Linked DNA regions of Arabidopsis thaliana. The protein of the gene in region 1 purifies or fractionates together with the protein of each later gene. This does not show direct contact. Each region holds a gene or a part of one and is shown in the gene's direction. Other genes may lie near its edges.

Evidence for each region.
Region 2: the proteins of MET18 (region 1) and ICU2 purify together in Arabidopsis thaliana (affinity purification with western blotting, with the first as the bait; one study listed by BioGRID). This does not show direct contact.

Annotation. Positions count from the first base shown.
Region 1 is NC_003076.8:19,507,643-19,517,685, reverse strand, and holds the start of MET18 (ARM repeat superfamily protein), read left to right. Parts: upstream 1-2,790; 5' UTR 2,791-2,911; coding exon 2,912-2,986; intron 2,987-3,057; coding exon 3,058-3,120; intron 3,121-3,211; coding exon 3,212-3,266; intron 3,267-3,344; coding exon 3,345-3,442; intron 3,443-3,539; coding exon 3,540-3,698; intron 3,699-3,797; coding exon 3,798-3,857; intron 3,858-4,050; coding exon 4,051-4,239; intron 4,240-4,337; coding exon 4,338-4,391; intron 4,392-4,847; coding exon 4,848-4,934; intron 4,935-5,034; coding exon 5,035-5,740; intron 5,741-5,888; coding exon 5,889-6,268; intron 6,269-6,396; coding exon 6,397-6,470; intron 6,471-7,034; coding exon 7,035-7,140; intron 7,141-7,239; coding exon 7,240-8,078; intron 8,079-8,455; coding exon 8,456-8,531; intron 8,532-8,602; coding exon 8,603-8,714; intron 8,715-8,934; coding exon 8,935-9,011; intron 9,012-9,111; coding exon 9,112-9,192; intron 9,193-9,270; coding exon 9,271-9,350; intron 9,351-9,442; and 6 more. Other genes in the region: AT5G48130 (Phototropic-responsive NPH3 family protein), read right to left, coding at 1-1,017, 1,130-1,199, 1,298-1,395. UniProt on the Arabidopsis thaliana protein: May select specific target apoproteins to which a Fe-S cluster produced by the cytosolic iron-sulfur (Fe-S) protein assembly (CIA) pathway is transferred.
Region 2 is NC_003076.8:26,773,697-26,780,716, forward strand, and holds the start of ICU2 (DNA-directed DNA polymerase), read left to right. Parts: upstream 1-3,256; 5' UTR 3,257-3,297; coding exon 3,298-4,404; intron 4,405-4,496; coding exon 4,497-4,667; intron 4,668-4,752; coding exon 4,753-4,836; intron 4,837-4,924; coding exon 4,925-4,999; intron 5,000-5,085; coding exon 5,086-5,150; intron 5,151-5,322; coding exon 5,323-5,413; intron 5,414-5,505; coding exon 5,506-5,691; intron 5,692-5,923; coding exon 5,924-6,087; intron 6,088-6,195; coding exon 6,196-6,310; intron 6,311-6,587; coding exon 6,588-6,764; intron 6,765-6,840; coding exon 6,841-6,954; intron 6,955-7,020. Other genes in the region: MAPKKK19 (mitogen-activated protein kinase kinase kinase 19), read left to right, coding at 1-64; AT5G67090 (Subtilisin-like serine endopeptidase family protein), read right to left, coding at 415-2,625. UniProt on the Arabidopsis thaliana protein: Polymerase alpha in a complex with DNA primase is a replicative polymerase.

The DNA of each region.
Region 1 (10,043 bases):
AATCAGCTCAATGAACCTTGTAGTTTTCATCTCTTGATCATACGGTAAACGAGAGAGAAAAATATCCCACAGTTTTCCAACTCTCACGTTGCTTGAGGAGGAAGTAAGATGGCGTTCCGATTCTGTTGATACATATACTGAAAACAGGCTTTCCATTGTAAGCAACTCCTGACTGAAAGCAACTTGCCTGTTCCCGGCTTTCGGGTATATAAAGTTTTCGGGTTGGGCAGTGTGAAGAAGAGATACAATCTGATCTTGCAGCTTTAACACAGTGTCATGCTTCAAATTGTGTGCAAGACACGCAAAATAAAACCCAACTGGAACAAACCTATATGCCTTGTCTCTTGTAAGAAGCAGATCTAGAGCTCTTTGCAGAATATCAGTATTAGTTTGACCTTCAGGTATTACAGATTTACTGGCGTAAAGGGCGACCAATGGACTTACATATCTTTCTTTCATACCTTGTCTTCTAAGCGACCCAATAATCTTTTTGAAGAATTCGAATGGAAGATCCGTGAGGTCTTTGATCCAAGTATCTTGGTTTATTATTCTCTCTATGTTTGTATATTCCCATGGTTGATTCACCATACCTTCAAGCATGATGACTGGCTTTTCTCTTCGTCTTTCGGGATCGAGAATCTCCATACAAGCCGTGAAAGCCAGAGACTCAATGCACCGGCTCACGATGAGTAGATCTTCAGACCAAGGCACTAGATCCTGACATTTCTTCAGAACAACTAACGTGTCATCCCAGTTTTGCAAGACAACTTGGTTTAGATAAAGGTCAAATCTCTCGCAGAGGTTACCCGTCGAATGTTGCTCTGTCATTTCAAGAAATTGAGCTGCACATCGTAGTCCAGCGATGTTGAAAGGATGTATTAAAGTTGGACAGCCATAAATGAAAAGCATAATCTTCTCAAAGGTCTCTGCTCCACCAGGAAACTCTTGTGGTATCTCGATCTCCGATAGCTGATCCTCTCTTTCCTTAAAATATCCGCTCTTTGCACACAAGAGACTCTACAAAAGATAAACAAAAAAAGTAAGGCATTATATTAACAAAAACCACTAAGCTACATGTATTGGTTGAAAACAGAATTTCTTGAGAGAGAGATTTGATTATCATTATTACCTTGTGAAGGTTAAAACTCTTGTTGCAAACTCGAACATGTACTGACGCGGGTAGACCGGTCTCTTTACTCCTGTGACACACACACACACAGTTACATTACATAAGTCTACAACATGAATAATTCAGATTTGTTATATGACATCACGAAGATAGTCTTGAGATTCATACCAAGAAAGAACTTTGATTTTCAAAAGGGTACTGATATTTGGAGAAGAAATCGGGCTGGAGGCGACGGACGAACAATCCTTGAGGCTGAAAGTTTCCATTATTGAGTATATAAATTGTGAAAACTAAGTAGATAAAGTATATCAAAACCAATATGGTATGATGAAACTGGAGACATTTGGTCGTTCATTTATTCTTCTTCACTATTATATTTTTGAAGAAGAAAGTTGCGTGTTTTGGGGATTGAAGAGGAAGAAAAAGGGTTCTAGGATCCACGAAACAAGAGGACGCTAAGGAAGATTTGAGAAAAAGAAAGTTTCTTTTGGTTTTCGTTTTTATCAAACATTAAACTATAATATGGCTACTTGCATGCAGGCACACACACATATATGCGTAGTAGATGTTGGGTCAAAGTCAGATGCGCACGAGTGTTGAGCTCAAAAAGAAGATCTCAAAATTCAAGGCAAGAAGTTGAAGACGACGTTCCTCGAGTGTTGAGAAGAGTTGAAAAATCTTGTATTATAACATTTTTTCTTCGCTTTTTTCAACAACATTTTTGTTTTTTACTCCAACACTTTCTTTCTTTTTCATGCATTAACTGTAACAAGACTCTAAATAGTTCTAACCAGACATTTTGGTGACGCTTATTTATGATGTTACGATCTGGTCTTCGAGTTATGTAATATACGTTAATTAATAGTGATTTGAGTATTTCTACGAATATAAATATATATTTTTGCAACCATCGTACATTACGAGAAAATCAAGAGAGGAAATCGAAGTACTGTATTGCTTACTTAGGAAGAATTCGCTCATAGAAAACAGGGAAAAGGAGGCTAAAGTAGGAAATTATTAGAGAATTACTTATATTGACACACATGTAACATAGATTTAAATGGATTTACTAGACTAACATAGATTTGTCGACAAAAAAAAAAAAGGCTAACATAGATTTTTTGGTAAAAATGACAGCAATATTTTTAGTATTCTATGCTATCTTTAAGTTATTTAAAGTGTACTCTATTAAACCACATAGATAAAGAAATGCCAACAAAAACAATATGAAACATTACAAATTCTAGAAAACGCCCTAAACGGTTAGCTTTAAATTTGAACTCTAAAGGACATAAAGAATCAATACGTAAATAAATAAAACACGTAAACGACTAAATTCGGTTAATTCCCTTAAAAAAAATTGATCACTCTTTATTCTTTTTTTTTTTGACAAAAAAAAAATCACTCTTAATTCTTAAAACTTGGTTTATGCTATTCATCAGCACAAAGTTCCTGCAATTCATACCAAAACCAGCGAAGTACTATTTCTAATTTCTTGGGATCAGGCCCAACAACATGGAAATTGCCTAACAGCCCAAATAATCAGAAGCCCAAAAGTAAAAACAAAAACAAAGCGAGCCTATATTTACACTCAGCGACCAATGTACATCCGCCACGTTATATCGATAATTTTTCATCTAAATTACAAAAATACCACTTCGTTTTCCTCCTCCTTCACTTCCTTTGGCGGCTCTTTTTTTGTCCTCTCTTCCTCTTTTCGTCGGAGCTCGCGAAGCTCTCTCTCCTCAGAAATCAAAAACCCTAAAAACCCTTTTTGTAGCGATGATGGTAGAACCGAATCAGCTCGTTCAACATCTCGAAACTTTTGTTGACACTAATCGTTCCTCTTCTCAACAGGTACCTTTTGATCAATTTTGAGACTTAGAACAACAGTTTCATTGATTCACCAAGTTTAATTTTGTTTTCAGGATGATAGTCTTAAAGCAATTGCTTCTTCTTTGGAGAATGATTCTTTATCTATTACCCAATTGGTAACAATTTCCACTCACTTGACAACTTCTGAATATTCTTCCGTAGGCTTTATTTGTGTTGTTGGCTTATTTCTGTATTGCTAATGTTTAGGTTAGAGAGATGGAGATGTATTTGACAACAACCGATAACCTCGTTCGAGCACGAGGTATTTCGATTCACTAGCTTAGTTTAATGAGCTTATCAATTTGAACGCAATTGGACATTGGTGTGTTCATAACTATAGGTATTCTCCTGCTTGCGGAGATTCTCGATTGTTTGAAAGCAAAGCCGTTGAACGATACAATAGTTCATACGCTCGTTGGATTCTTTTCCGAAAAGCTGGTAATTTGATACTTCTTAAGTTTGATTATACTCGATTCCAATGTGTCTATTCAATTGTTTTAACATAGAAGTGAAACGATTGTTGTACTTGAATCAGGCAGATTGGAGAGCGATGTGCGGGGCGCTTGTTGGTTGTTTGGCTCTACTGAAGAGGAAAGATGTAGCTGGTGTGGTTACTGATATCGATGTACAAGCTATGGCGAAGTCAATGATACAGAATGTGCAAGTGCAAGCTTTAGCACTGCATGAGCGCAAAGTATGAAGCGGTTATTTGTAGTATTCTGTTATCTAATCTGAATGATTGTGTTCTACGCTGGATGGTTTTTTCATTATCTTCTGCTAAATGACTTTGCAGCTCGCTTTTGAACTTCTGGAGTGCCTTTTACAACAACATTCTGAAGCTATTTTGACTATGGTATGCTAATGCTCTCTACTTAGTTCAGAATTAAACATTCGATCTACTGTGTGAGGAATGTTTTCTTGGAAATCTATTTGAGTCAGCTTTGTAGGAAGACAAATAATTATTTATATGTATCCAAATTTGTAATACTACTCGGGACCTTTCCTCACTTTCTTGTAATCCTATTGACTAAACGGCCATTTCCTAGGGTGATCTACTTGTTTATGCTATGTGTGAAGCCATCGACGGAGAAAAAGATCCTCAATGCTTAATGATAGTTTTTCATCTAGTAGAGCTTTTGGCTCCTTTGTTCCCCAGTCCTTCTGGTCCACTCGCTTCTGATGCATCTGATCTTTTTGAAGTTATTGGTTGCTACTTCCCACTTCATTTTACGCATGTGAGTTTAAAGCCTATCCTTTTTATGATGTGCTATATAGATGGGTTTCTCTTTCTTTCACTAAACTGTTTAGTGTGCTCTTTTTTTGGGTTAATTAGACAAAAGATGACGAAGCTAATATTAGAAGAGAGGATCTCTCAAGGGGACTACTGGTGAGTATTGTGTCATAATTCATGATTTGCATAAAGTTCTTGCTGGCTTATTGTGGCTCAATGGCTTAGTTTCTCAAGGTTAAATATCAGTTGATCATTCTGGTTTGGAGTTCCTTAAAAATAAAATGTTTTAGACCCTTAGAAAATGGTATGAAGATTAGACTGAAAAGCTATTTCGCATATCATGTCCATTCTTTGAAAGCTGTTAGGCAAAGTACAGTGACTTGTCCTGTCTCTGGTAATTTATATGCTTCTCTGCTTCTGAGGGCACAGATGCCTTGAAGATGGAAATACTAATTTTTGTTTTCTACATCTAAGTATGGCTTGCAGTTTCAAGCATGGCTGAAATGGTATTAGGTTAAAAATGGGAGAATTATGATAAATCCTGTTTATATATATATAAATGTATAACATTAGGTTAAATTTATTCACTGATGTACTTTATTCAATTTGCAGCTGGCGATCTCTTCGACACCTTTCTTTGAACCGTATGCTATTCCGTTGCTTCTTGAAAAGCTTTCTTCTTCTCTACCAGTCGCAAAGGTGCGTTTAACATGTAGTTTTCTGTTAATACATCTAGATTATATGCCACTCCGGATGTTGGACAAGTGTAGTTATTTTTGTTCCACTCAAACCTGTATAGGTTGATTCTTTGAAATGTCTGAAAGATTGCGCTTTGAAATATGGAGTAGACAGAATGAAGAAGCACTATGGAGCTCTTTGGTCTGCTTTGAAAGATACATTTTATTCCTCTACTGGGACACATTTGTCATTTGCTATAGAATCCCTCACTAGTCCAGGGTTTGAAATGAATGAGATCCACAGAGATGCTGTTAGTCTTCTTCAGAGGCTTGTTAAGCAAGATATCTCGTTTTTAGGTTTTGTAGTTGATGATACACGCATAAACACAGTCTTTGATACCATCTATAGATACCCTCAGTATAAAGAAATGCCTGACCCAAGCAAACTGGAGGTTCTTGTTATCAGTCAGATACTGTCTGTTTCTGCCAAAGCTTCGGTTCAGTCATGCAATATAATCTTTGAAGCCATATTTTTCCGCCTTATGAATACTCTAGGGATTGTAGAGAAAACTTCTACTGGCGATGTTGTTCAAAACGGAAACTCTACAGTCTCTACCAGACTCTACCATGGAGGTCTTCATCTATGCATTGAACTTCTTGCAGCATCAAAAGATCTTATTCTGGGTTTCGAGGAATGTTCTCCAACATCTGGATGTGCAAACTCAGGGTGCTCTATGGTGAAAAGCTTCTCAGTTCCATTGATCCAGGTGTTCACTTCTGCAGTATGCCGCTCGAATGATGATTCTGTTGTGGATGTATATCTTGGAGGTGAATGCTTGTGGTTACTTAATAGATATATCACCATCTTGTGGTTCTTGCCGTCTTTTCTTAATACTGAACTCGGTCTACAATTTTTTCTAGGTTACCATGTTCTTATTCCTATTATCTAAATGATTTATTTTGTTAATGAATACAGTTAAGGGTTTGCTGACTATGGGTATGTTTCGGGGCGGCTCTTCTCCTGTATCGAGAACCGAATTCGAGAATATTTTGGTGACATTAACATCAATCATTACAGCCAAGAGTGGCAAAACAGTGGTGTGGGAATTGGCATTGAAGGCACTGGTCTGTATCGGCTCATTTATTGATCGGTATCATGAGAGTGACAAGGCTATGAGCTACATGAGTATAGTTGTCGACAATTTGGTCTCATTGGCCTGTTCTAGTCATTGTGGTCTTCCATATCAGATGATATTAGAAGCAACTTCAGAAGTTTGCTCCACTGGACCAAAGTATGTGGAGAAAATGGTTCAAGGATTGGAAGAAGCTTTTTGTTCCAGTTTGTCTGATTTCTATGTATGTGTTACCCCCGTGACTAGACCATAAAGTTTTCACTTATATTTGATCTAACAGTTTCTATCTCCAACAAGCAACAGATCGAGAGCTTCCTTGTATCTAACTTCTATTTGGAAACCACTTGTCAGGTCAATGGAAACTTCGAGTCAATTGACAATTGCTCTCAGCTCCTGAAGTGTTTGACCAACAAATTGCTTCCACGGTACCCAAACTTTTCTTGAATTTATTTTATCTCATAGATAAACTAGCTTTGCCAGCGTGAGTATCTAGACTTTTAGTTGTTCGTAAACAGCCAACTATTCTGGATGATACAACTTGTTAACTGCCATACTTTGGTAGCGTATTTAGGTTCTCTCTGTTCAGGTTCATTGTGTTATTCCCCTTAGTCAACCCCTTGTAACTCGGTAGAATCCGTCAAGATTTTATAATAGACATAGAAAACAACTATAGATGGCACATTCACCTAACAGAGAGTTATAATAAGCACATGGAAACCAACAAGCAATGCAATAGCACGAGTGTCTTTTCTATTATTCCTTTACAAAATAGAGACCTCTTTGTGTCTTTTTCCTTCATTTACAAATTTTATCGTTCCAAAGATGAAAACTTAAAAACATTTGTGGTGCATCCATGTGTATGGCTCCACTGTTTTTTATCTGATTGGAGATTCTTTTTCTCTATGCCTTCTCTCTGCCAAGAACAATATTCTTCGTTCCTCTTTTGCATGTCCTTTTGACTCGTGGAATTTTGTTCTGATCTCAATTAGTGTGGCTGAGATAGATGGTCTCGAGCAACTCTTGGTGCATTTCGCTATCAGTATGTGGAAACAAATTGAATTTTGTGGAGTTTTCAGTTGTGATTTTAATGGTAGGGTAAGTGCTCAGATGAACTTTAGACTCTTTGTTTCTCTTCGAACTCGATTTGGTTTATTTATTTTTGATGTCATGAATTTATTTGCTCTTCTATAACAGGAGTTTGTTGAGGCAGCGATGACAACGATGAGGCAAGTTGTAGGAATTGCTTTGGTAGATTCACAGAACAGTATAATCCAAAAAGCTTATAGTGTGGTATCATCTTGTACGCTTCCAGCTATGGAGTCTATTCCTTTGACCTTTGTTGCATTAGAGGGTCTACAGCGTGACTTGTCCTCTAGGGATGAATTGATACTTTCACTATTTGCATCAGTTATCATAGCTGCGTCCCCCTCAGCATCCATTCCAGATGCGAAATCACTTATACATCTGCTTTTGGTAACACTTCTTAAGGGTTATATCCCAGCAGCTCAAGCTTTGGGTTCAATGGTTAACAAATTGGGCTCGGGTTCTGGTGGAACAAATACCTCAAGGGATTGTTCCTTGGAAGAAGCATGTGCTATAATATTTCACGCAGATTTTGCATCGGGAAAAAAGATTTCTTCTAATGGATCTGCTAAAATTATAGTTGGAAGTGAGACAACCATGTCAAAGATATGTTTAGGTTACTGTGGTTCTCTGGACCTTCAAACCCGTGCAATCACAGGACTAGCATGGATTGGGAAAGGTTTACTCATGCGGGGCAATGAAAGAGTTAATGAAATAGCTCTGGTGCTAGTAGAGTGTTTAAAATCCAATAACTGTTCTGGGCATGCGCTGCATCCTTCTGCCATGAAACATGCAGCAGATGCATTCTCTATAATAATGTCTGATTCGGAAGTGTGTCTGAACAGAAAATTCCATGCAGTTATACGACCACTCTATAAACAGCGGTGTTTCTCTACGATAGTTCCCATTTTGGAGTCTTTGATTATGAATTCCCAGACTTCACTATCGAGGTAAATATATCTTTAAGTATATTTATTGTTACTCTTTTATAGTTCTACTCTTTCATAGAAAAATGTTTGGTCATTAGCATCTTTGGTGCTCTTGTGTGTACTCTGTCTTCATCATTAAGTCCTTCTATGTCATTTCCCTAGAATGCAATTGCACCCACAAGAACCGTTTTAGTGTTCCTTTCTGGAAGAATAAGAAGACCTCTTGAAGATTGTTAGTTTAATTTTGGTTAGATGTAGCTACCACATAAACTCATACTAGTTTAGGCTTCGTTGTTGCTCCAAGTTTCAAGTACATATCATAAATAGGCAAGTTACAGTTTATTGTGACAAACAACAAATTTGATTCTCAGCTGACTGGTTTCTTCATTTTTTTTCAGAACAATGTTGCATGTAGCTCTCGCTCATGTTATATCCAATGTTCCGGTAACAGTCATATTGGACAATACCAAAAAGGTGAGCCTTAATTTAGACTTTGTCTTTTGTACCTTTTTAAACAGTTTCTTATTAGACATTGGTCTGTGCAGCTACAACCGTTGATACTGGAAGGCTTGTCTGTCTTAAGCTTGGACTCTGTGGAGAAAGAAACTCTTTTCAGTCTATTACTGGTTTTATCTGGAACGCTTACTGATACTAAGGGTAAGAAAAGTTAGATGCTGGGATACAAAAGCTTATTGCATTATATAAAATCTTGCTTCATTTGTTGAAGATCAAACAATTCTTATATGATTCAAATTCGTTTGCGCCCACTGATAATAGGGATTGTGTATATGGTTGAGTTAATGCAATAGTTGATAAGCCTCAAAAAGACATTTTATATTCAATTTTGCCGAGAATTAACCATTTGATCTGTTTGCAGGACAACAATCTGCCAGTGATAATGCACATATAATCATCGAATGCCTGATCAAGCTTACATCATATCCGCATCTAATGGTGACAAATCATTTTCTTTTCTATAGCATCTTCGTTTTTTCCAACGGAATTGATTCTTGAATCTTCTAATGATAATATGTCCACGTTAAATGGTATGCAGGTTGTTAGAGAAACATCAATTCAGTGTCTTGTTGCGTTGTTGGAATTGCCGCATAGAAGGATTTATCCTTTCAGAAGAGAGGTTAGTTAAAAGATCTAACCCACATGTTTTTAGTGTAGAGTAAGAAATGTGTCTAATGACTTTGGAATTTATTTCAAGGTTTTACAAGCAATAGAAAAGTCACTCGATGATCCGAAACGGAAAGTTCGAGAAGAAGCTATTAGGTGCAGACAGGCTTGGTTAGTAACGTAAAACTCATCAGTTATCTTTTTCGTAATTGCGGCTTTTAATCACTATCTTGTGAAATAATTCTGATCATTGTCAAAATCAGGGCGTCAATCACATCCGGAAGTAACATATTCTGAAGTTGAATTGAGAGATTAACGAAGCCAAGTTATCTTCTTCAAAGTAATATTCTTTTTTACATTTGTGACATTTGTTAGAGAGCCAGCGAATCAGTGTCTTGTGACACATTTAACGCATACCAACCAATACCATCTAACATTTGTGATACAGTGAGTGACACTTACACTTTAGTTGAGTAGTCTTTAGAAGAGTTTATTGGTCAGCGAATTTTAAATAATTTCGAAATTCAAACAAAATTATAGGTGTTATTAGATCATTGATTTTAAAATTCTTGTCAAAAACTTTGTAATATTTGTTCATTGATTTCTCAAGACCAGTTGAATTCCAGTTTTTTTTGTCAATGATTCTCATTATATTCTCATCATATAAAAAGTTTGACAATTTTGAATGTAGTTTTAAGGTAAATTATACAAAAAAGATTTGGACGTCTTAGCATGCAAGCGTACTTTTACCAAACAAAAAGAAGAGTTTCCAAACGTTTCGCTTCTGGTTCCATGTAAGTATGTAACCTAAGGGGACAATTCAAGTATTTTTTTCTATTTATTGTCGTTTTGTAAACAGAGTTT
Region 2 (7,020 bases), 7.3 Mb from region 1:
TAGTTTGGTGACTGATATGATCCCTGATTGGTCTGTTACCAATAGCTGGGTCACCGTACGGTGACGATAGTGATTAAAAAACAGGGGACAAAAACAGAGTTGCAGAGAAAGACTAGAGCTTTTTTTTAATTCCTAGTCAGATCCAACAATTCTAATTTAATTCGTTGTATAAATATTTCTTATTAGAAATTGACTATTTATTTATATGTAAATACCAGTTTTGTATTCATGATCTCAAATCTTGATTCTCTTTAGTACTATATGGAAATTGTATTCATGACTCATGAGCCCATTATCTCGATTATCTTTCTCCATGAATGTGAATAAAGATCGTATATTCAGACATAATCACACGGAATAAGAGAATAAGTTTAACCAAAGAAGAAAAAAAACAAATCTTTTGCAAAGTAAAGATCAAGACTCTTGGACAAGGCTCGTGGCCACCACAGAACAGCTCACTTCAAACTCAGCTTCATCTTCATCAACCCAACTCACCAATCCATAAACCACGTTCTCTTGTAACCCTCTTGGACTCTCCAATCTCACAGTGTAGCTTAGCTTCTCGTTTTTCTCGCTGAACATTAGTTTCTTTGGCTCTACGACGACGTTTAGACCCTTCAAGCCTCTCACTCTCACGATGTAGCTTCTCTTTGCTTCTCCCACGTTTGTCAATGTCCTCTTAAAGATCTTGGGACTGCTTTGATCAGACGTGAAGTAGGCAATGATTGAAGGGTAATTGAGATATGGAGATGGCTTTTTACAAGCGTCGGAGATATTCGATCTCGTGATGATATTGATCAATTTTCTTGATTGTTTTGCCTCGTGACAAAGGAAGTTTATGAAATCTTGTGGAGTTGTATCATAGATTAGGCCAGGGTTTAAGACTTTGTTCGTACTCACATGCCCTGCTCCAACGGCTAATGGGTTGTCTAAAGTCAAAGCCGTTGTCATAATTGCAGATTTTATAGCCGATGGACTCCAATTTGGATGGACTTGCTTTATAAGCGCAGCGACTCCAGCTACATGAGGTGCAGCCATTGATGTCCCGGTTAAGAGATTGAATCCGCTGAATAACGGTAGTGCTCGAGTTCCGGTGATTTGCTCAACCGACGGCCAAGCAGAGAGTATAAGTGTCCCAGGAGCTAGAATGTCTGGTTTCAGGATTTGAGGGAAGCTTGTGAATGGACCCCTTGAGCTGTATGTGCCAACTTCTGGCGCTGGTTTTGTCCCGATTACCGTTTTACGAAACTCCAGCTTTGCGGTCGCGTTGTTTTTGTTGCTTGATGCGTAGCTTTCAATAGTTTCTCGGTGTTTTGAGCCGATGAATGCTACTGGAAACTGGAATTTTATTGTGTCTTGCTCCTCAAGTAACTTATCTGTTATTAAAACTACTGCTGCAGCTCCGGTGGATCTGATTTGATGAAGTTTGCTACCGATGTTTATGTTTTCGTTACAGACAACAATTCTGTTTGCGAGAGTCTTGTTTTCAACGCTGCCAGATTCGATGTAAGTTACTGGAAACTGAACCGAAGGGAACTCTCCAGGAAACAGAGATGGAAAACTGAAACTAACTCTGTTTCCAAACGTTAGGGTTCCTTGAAATTGCCTACCAATTGTTCCCGCTCCAACCGTCATAATCCACGGCGCTCCGTTAATCAAACTCCAGTAATATGGCCCGTCGTTACCGCCGGAAGTAACCACGAAAACGCCTTTTTGAATCGCTGCAAAAGATGCGACTGCGATTGGATCATTTTCTAGACCGAAACCATCATTGTCGTCATCATCCTCAAAACTCAATCCTAGCGACAGAGATATCACATGGACTCCATCTCGAATCGCTTGATCAATCGCTGCGATTACATCTGATGAGTAAATCCCTTCTTCCCACGCGGCTTTGTAGATTGCTAGATGCGCGTGTGGTGCGATTCCTGAGGCGGTTCCTTGGGCGTAAGAGAAGTAAGACGCGTTCTTAACATGATTCCCAGCTGCAATGGCTGCAACATGAGTGCCGTGTCCGATTGTATCGTACGGTGAAGAGTATTGGCCAATCTTGGTTTCTCTCAAATCAGGGTTGTTGGCGAACAAACCCTTGTTGAATACCTTAGCACCGATTAGTTTCTTGTTGCACAAGGAAGAAGAATTGAATTCACATGCTCCTTTCCATTTAGACGGAACCGAACCAACCCCATCGTCGTGAAAGCTGGGACTATCGGGCCAAATTCCGGTATCTATAATACCGATTACTATACCAGCTCCATAATTCGAGACCGGCCATGTACCGGATGTCGAATTTAAACCGATAAACTTTGGAGAGAAAGTGGTATGAAGCTTAACCGGTAAATCTTTGGTGAACGAGACATACCCGGGTTTGTGTTTAAGACGTTGGAGCTCAGAGTTGGTGAGAACCGCGCTAAACCCGTGAACCGAATCGGTATAAGCGTAGATAATCTTTGGTTTTCTATTGGTTATAACTGAAGTAAGAGTTGTGGAAAACCAGCTCCGATGATCGGAAAATGGCAACGGTTTAGCGGATAAGTCCATGTGGATGATGTAAGGAGAGGTCTCCGCCGTTACAATCGCTACGAAAAATGAGAACACCAGAATAATTACGACGGTCATCCCCATGTCTGAGCAAGTTTTTTTCTCTGGTCTCTTCAAAGTGAAATGAATTTTGGTGTTAGTAAGAAACAATTATAGTGTTGTTGTTAATAGATGTTTAGTTTTTATTATGACAAAAAAGTTGCAGAGAATGTAACCTTTACTTGGCTTTTGCTTTTGTTAAAGTGGTTTTAGGTGGTCGGCAACACATCATCTCTCATCATTGTTTTTTTTTCTTTTCTCTTTCAATTGGGCTTTATCATAGAGAACAATGATTTTGGATATGAACTTATTAGTAGTTTCAGCAATAGTTTAGACTTTCGAATCGGTAAATATCAGTAACTTAGAACTCAGGCTGAAACTTTGATTCTTTTACTGTATTTAGCTAGATTCTACACTTGGTGGACTCCATCAGCAATTACTTCACAGACCGAGGTAGCTCCTACAACTCTCTGATGCTTGATCTCGTTCAAATAGATGTCTCATAATTGCTTCTTTTTTGTTTTTGTTTTTGGGCTTTATTAAAGAGGAGTAAGGCCCATTAAGAGAACCCGTTTGTTTGTTGGATTCGGATTTGGCAAATGGATAGCGCCAAAATCGTGTCGATTTTCCCGCCATCTCCATTTCTTAATCTGGGTTCTTAAACCTAAATCAGTTACTCAGCTTCACCAAACCACCAAATTGACCGGATTTGTAAAAATGTCCGGCGATAATTCAACGGAAACTGGACGAAGACGTAGCCGAGGCGCGGAGGCGTCGAGTAGGAAAGACACACTCGAGCGTCTGAAGGCGATTCGACAAGGAGGAATCCGTTCTGCGTCAGGTGGTGGGTACGATATTAGGCTGCAGAAGCCAATCTTCGATACCGTTGATGACGAAGAGTACGACGCACTTGTTTCCCGGCGGCGCGAGGAGGCTCGCGGGTTTGTAGTTGAAGATGGGGAAGGTGGCGATTTGGGATATCTCGACGAAGGTGAGGAGGAGGATTGGTCGAAGCCAAGTGGACCAGAATCGACTGATGAATCAGACGACGGTGGTAGGTTTAGTGGGAGACTTAAGAAGAAGAAGAAAGGGAAAGAGCAAACGCAGCAACCTCAGGTTAAGAAGGTGAATCCGGCGTTAAAAGCTGCGGCTACTATCACTGGTGAAGGTAGACTTTCGTCTATGTTCACATCTTCGAGTTTCAAGAAAGTTAAGGAGACTGATAAGGCACAGTATGAGGGTATTCTTGACGAGATAATAGCTCAGGTTACTCCAGATGAGTCGGATAGAAAAAAGCATACGAGGAGAAAACTACCAGGTACTGTTCCAGTTACCATCTTCAAGAATAAAAAACTGTTTTCTGTTGCCTCGAGTATGGGAATGAAAGAGTCTGAACCAACACCTTCAACTTATGAGGGTGATTCTGTTTCCATGGATAATGAATTGATGAAAGAGGAAGATATGAAAGAATCTGAAGTCATTCCTTCTGAGACTATGGAATTACTTGGAAGTGATATTGTCAAAGAGGATGGATCAAACAAGATAAGGAAAACTGAAGTGAAGAGTGAGTTAGGTGTCAAGGAGGTATTTACATTGAATGCAACGATTGATATGAAAGAGAAGGATTCGGCTTTAAGTGCCACTGCTGGTTGGAAGGAAGCGATGGGAAAAGTTGGAACTGAGAATGGGGCTTTGCTTGGTTCTAGTTCTGAAGGGAAAACGGAATTTGATTTGGATGCTGACGGATCACTTCGTTTCTTCATTCTTGACGCTTATGAGGAGGCTTTTGGTGCGAGCATGGGCACAATATATCTGTTTGGGAAGGTGAATCTCTAGATTTTTCATTCATTTTTAAAGTTGTTCTTTTGGCCTTAATCTAGAGAATGAATTCGGTCTCTCTTTTTTTAACAATTCAGGTTAAAATGGGAGATACTTACAAGAGTTGCTGTGTGGTAGTTAAGAATATCCAGAGGTGTGTTTATGCTATTCCAAATGATTCCATATTTCCTTCCCATGAACTAATCATGCTCGAGCAAGAGGTGAAAGACTCTCGACTTTCTCCTGAATCCTTCCGTGGGAAATTGCATGTGAGTTTGACTACCTTTGTTACATGCTAAGAGGAAGCAATCTATTTTCCTCTGTTGTTCATTGTTTTTGGCTGTGTCTTCTCAGGAAATGGCATCAAAACTGAAAAACGAAATTGCTCAGGAATTGTTACAGCTCAATGTTTCAAATTTTAGCATGGCGCCTGTCAAGGTTTGGATATTTGACTTCTTTTTCATGTATTCTAGCAGCAATACTTTTCTTTTGACTCTCTATTCTGCTCTTTATGTACGAATATCAGAGAAACTATGCTTTTGAGAGGCCTGATGTGCCTGCTGGCGAACAATATGTTTTGAAGATAAATTATTCATTTAAGGTACATTTCAGCTGTTCAAAATAAAACTAAAAATCGTCTGTTTTCTTACATCTCAACAATATGACAAGTTTCCTCTTTTATAACAGGATCGTCCACTTCCAGAAGATCTTAAAGGCGAGTCTTTCTCCGCTTTGCTCGGGTCTCATACCAGGTTCTAGCTTCTTACTGCTGAGTTTCATTACCTTTCCATGTGTTTGGTAGTTGGTTTGTTAAGTTTGTATTTTCTGGTCTTCTGTAAGCTTCTTAGTTAACTATGTATGCTGGCTATGTCAATTTAGCACGGTGCAATTTTTTCATCCTTATCAAAGTTAATTCATATGCAGTGCTTTGGAGCATTTTATCCTTAAGAGGAAGATCATGGGACCTTGTTGGCTCAAAATTTCAAGCTTCTCTACTTGCTCTCCTTCGGAAGGAGTAAGACCTTAAATCTGTGCCATAATCATATAATCAGTGATTTTTCTAGTTCTGTTTATCTCCGCTAATGAGAGGACTTGCCACTTGTGCAGGTGAGTTGGTGCAAGTTTGAGGTTACTGTTCAATCTCCCAAGGATATCACTATTTTAGTTTCAGAGGAAAAGGTGGTTCACCCTCCTGCTGTTGTTACAGCCATAAATTTAAAGACTATAGTCAATGAAAAGCAGAACATAAGCGAAATTGTTTCTGCATCTGTTCTCTGCTTTCACAACGCCAAGGTTTGTTCTACAACATTTAACCAATGCTTCTTAGCCTTTTTTGTTGTTGTTGTTGTTGTCTTTGTGAAGAATACGGATGTATGATCATGGCATTACCAATCACCAGTAGGTTTTCGTACCATGTGGTTTTATATTAACGCTCATTTTGGACGATTGTTTCTTGCTCAAAAGACACTCTTTCTGTCTACATTAGTAGCTTGACATATGATGTGCGTGCTCCTTGATCTTTCAGATTGATGTTCCAATGCCAGCTCCAGAAAGAAAGAGATCTGGTATTCTGAGTCATTTCACTGTTGTTAGGAATCCTGAAGGAACCGGTTACCCAATTGGTTGGAAAAAAGAAGTGTCTGACAGAAATTCAAAGAACGGCTGCAATGTATTAAGTATTGAAAACAGGTGTGTTGCAGCTCTGTTACTGAATAGGCTGTGTTTGTGATCCTTCACATATATCTTTGGCAATTCATGTTGGCTTCGTCCAATATTTTGTTCCTTTTCTTACTGCAGTGAAAGAGCATTGCTGAACCGATTGTTTTTGGAGTTAAACAAATTGGACAGTGATATTCTTGTGGGACATAATATTTCAGGTTTTGATCTGGATGTTCTTCTTCAAAGGGCCCAGGTAAAGCAAAATCTCTTTTTACCATTAAGAAAAATGGTTGTGTCTTTCATTTTATTTTATTTTCTTATCTTTCTATGATATGCTTCATATTAGTTTTGTAAGATCTTGTCTTTCCAGGCCTATTAGATGATATTTAACGTAATAAGCCAGCAAGTTTTTATTTCATGCATTGTACATCATTAGTCCCTTTTCCAGTCTCTCCTGTTGTGATGATCATGTAATAGAGATATATACATGTCTGTCTTGTTCTTTAAACTGAATGATTACTATTGTGCAGGCTTGCAAAGTTCAGAGTAGCATGTGGTCCAAAATTGGCCGACTCAAACGCTCTTTTATGCCTAAGCTTAAAGGAAACAGTAATTATGGGTCAGGAGCTACACCAGGGCTCATGTCTTGTATTGCTGGAAGGCTCTTGTGTGATACAGATCTGTGTTCTCGTGACTTGTTGAAGGAGGTATGATACCCTTGCAGGTCTTGTAAGCAGTAAGTTGAAGCTCAGTCCCTCATGTATAAGCATCTGTTTCTTGCAGGTCAGTTATTCTTTAACGGACCTCTCAAAGACACAGCTGAACCGGGACAGGAAAGAGATAGCGCCTAATGATATTCCCAAAATGTTTCAGTCATCCAAAACACTTGTGGAACTTGTAAGTTCTTCGATGAGCCCGGTCATGTCTGTTTTATGTATGAGTTGGTACTACCACATTAGGGAC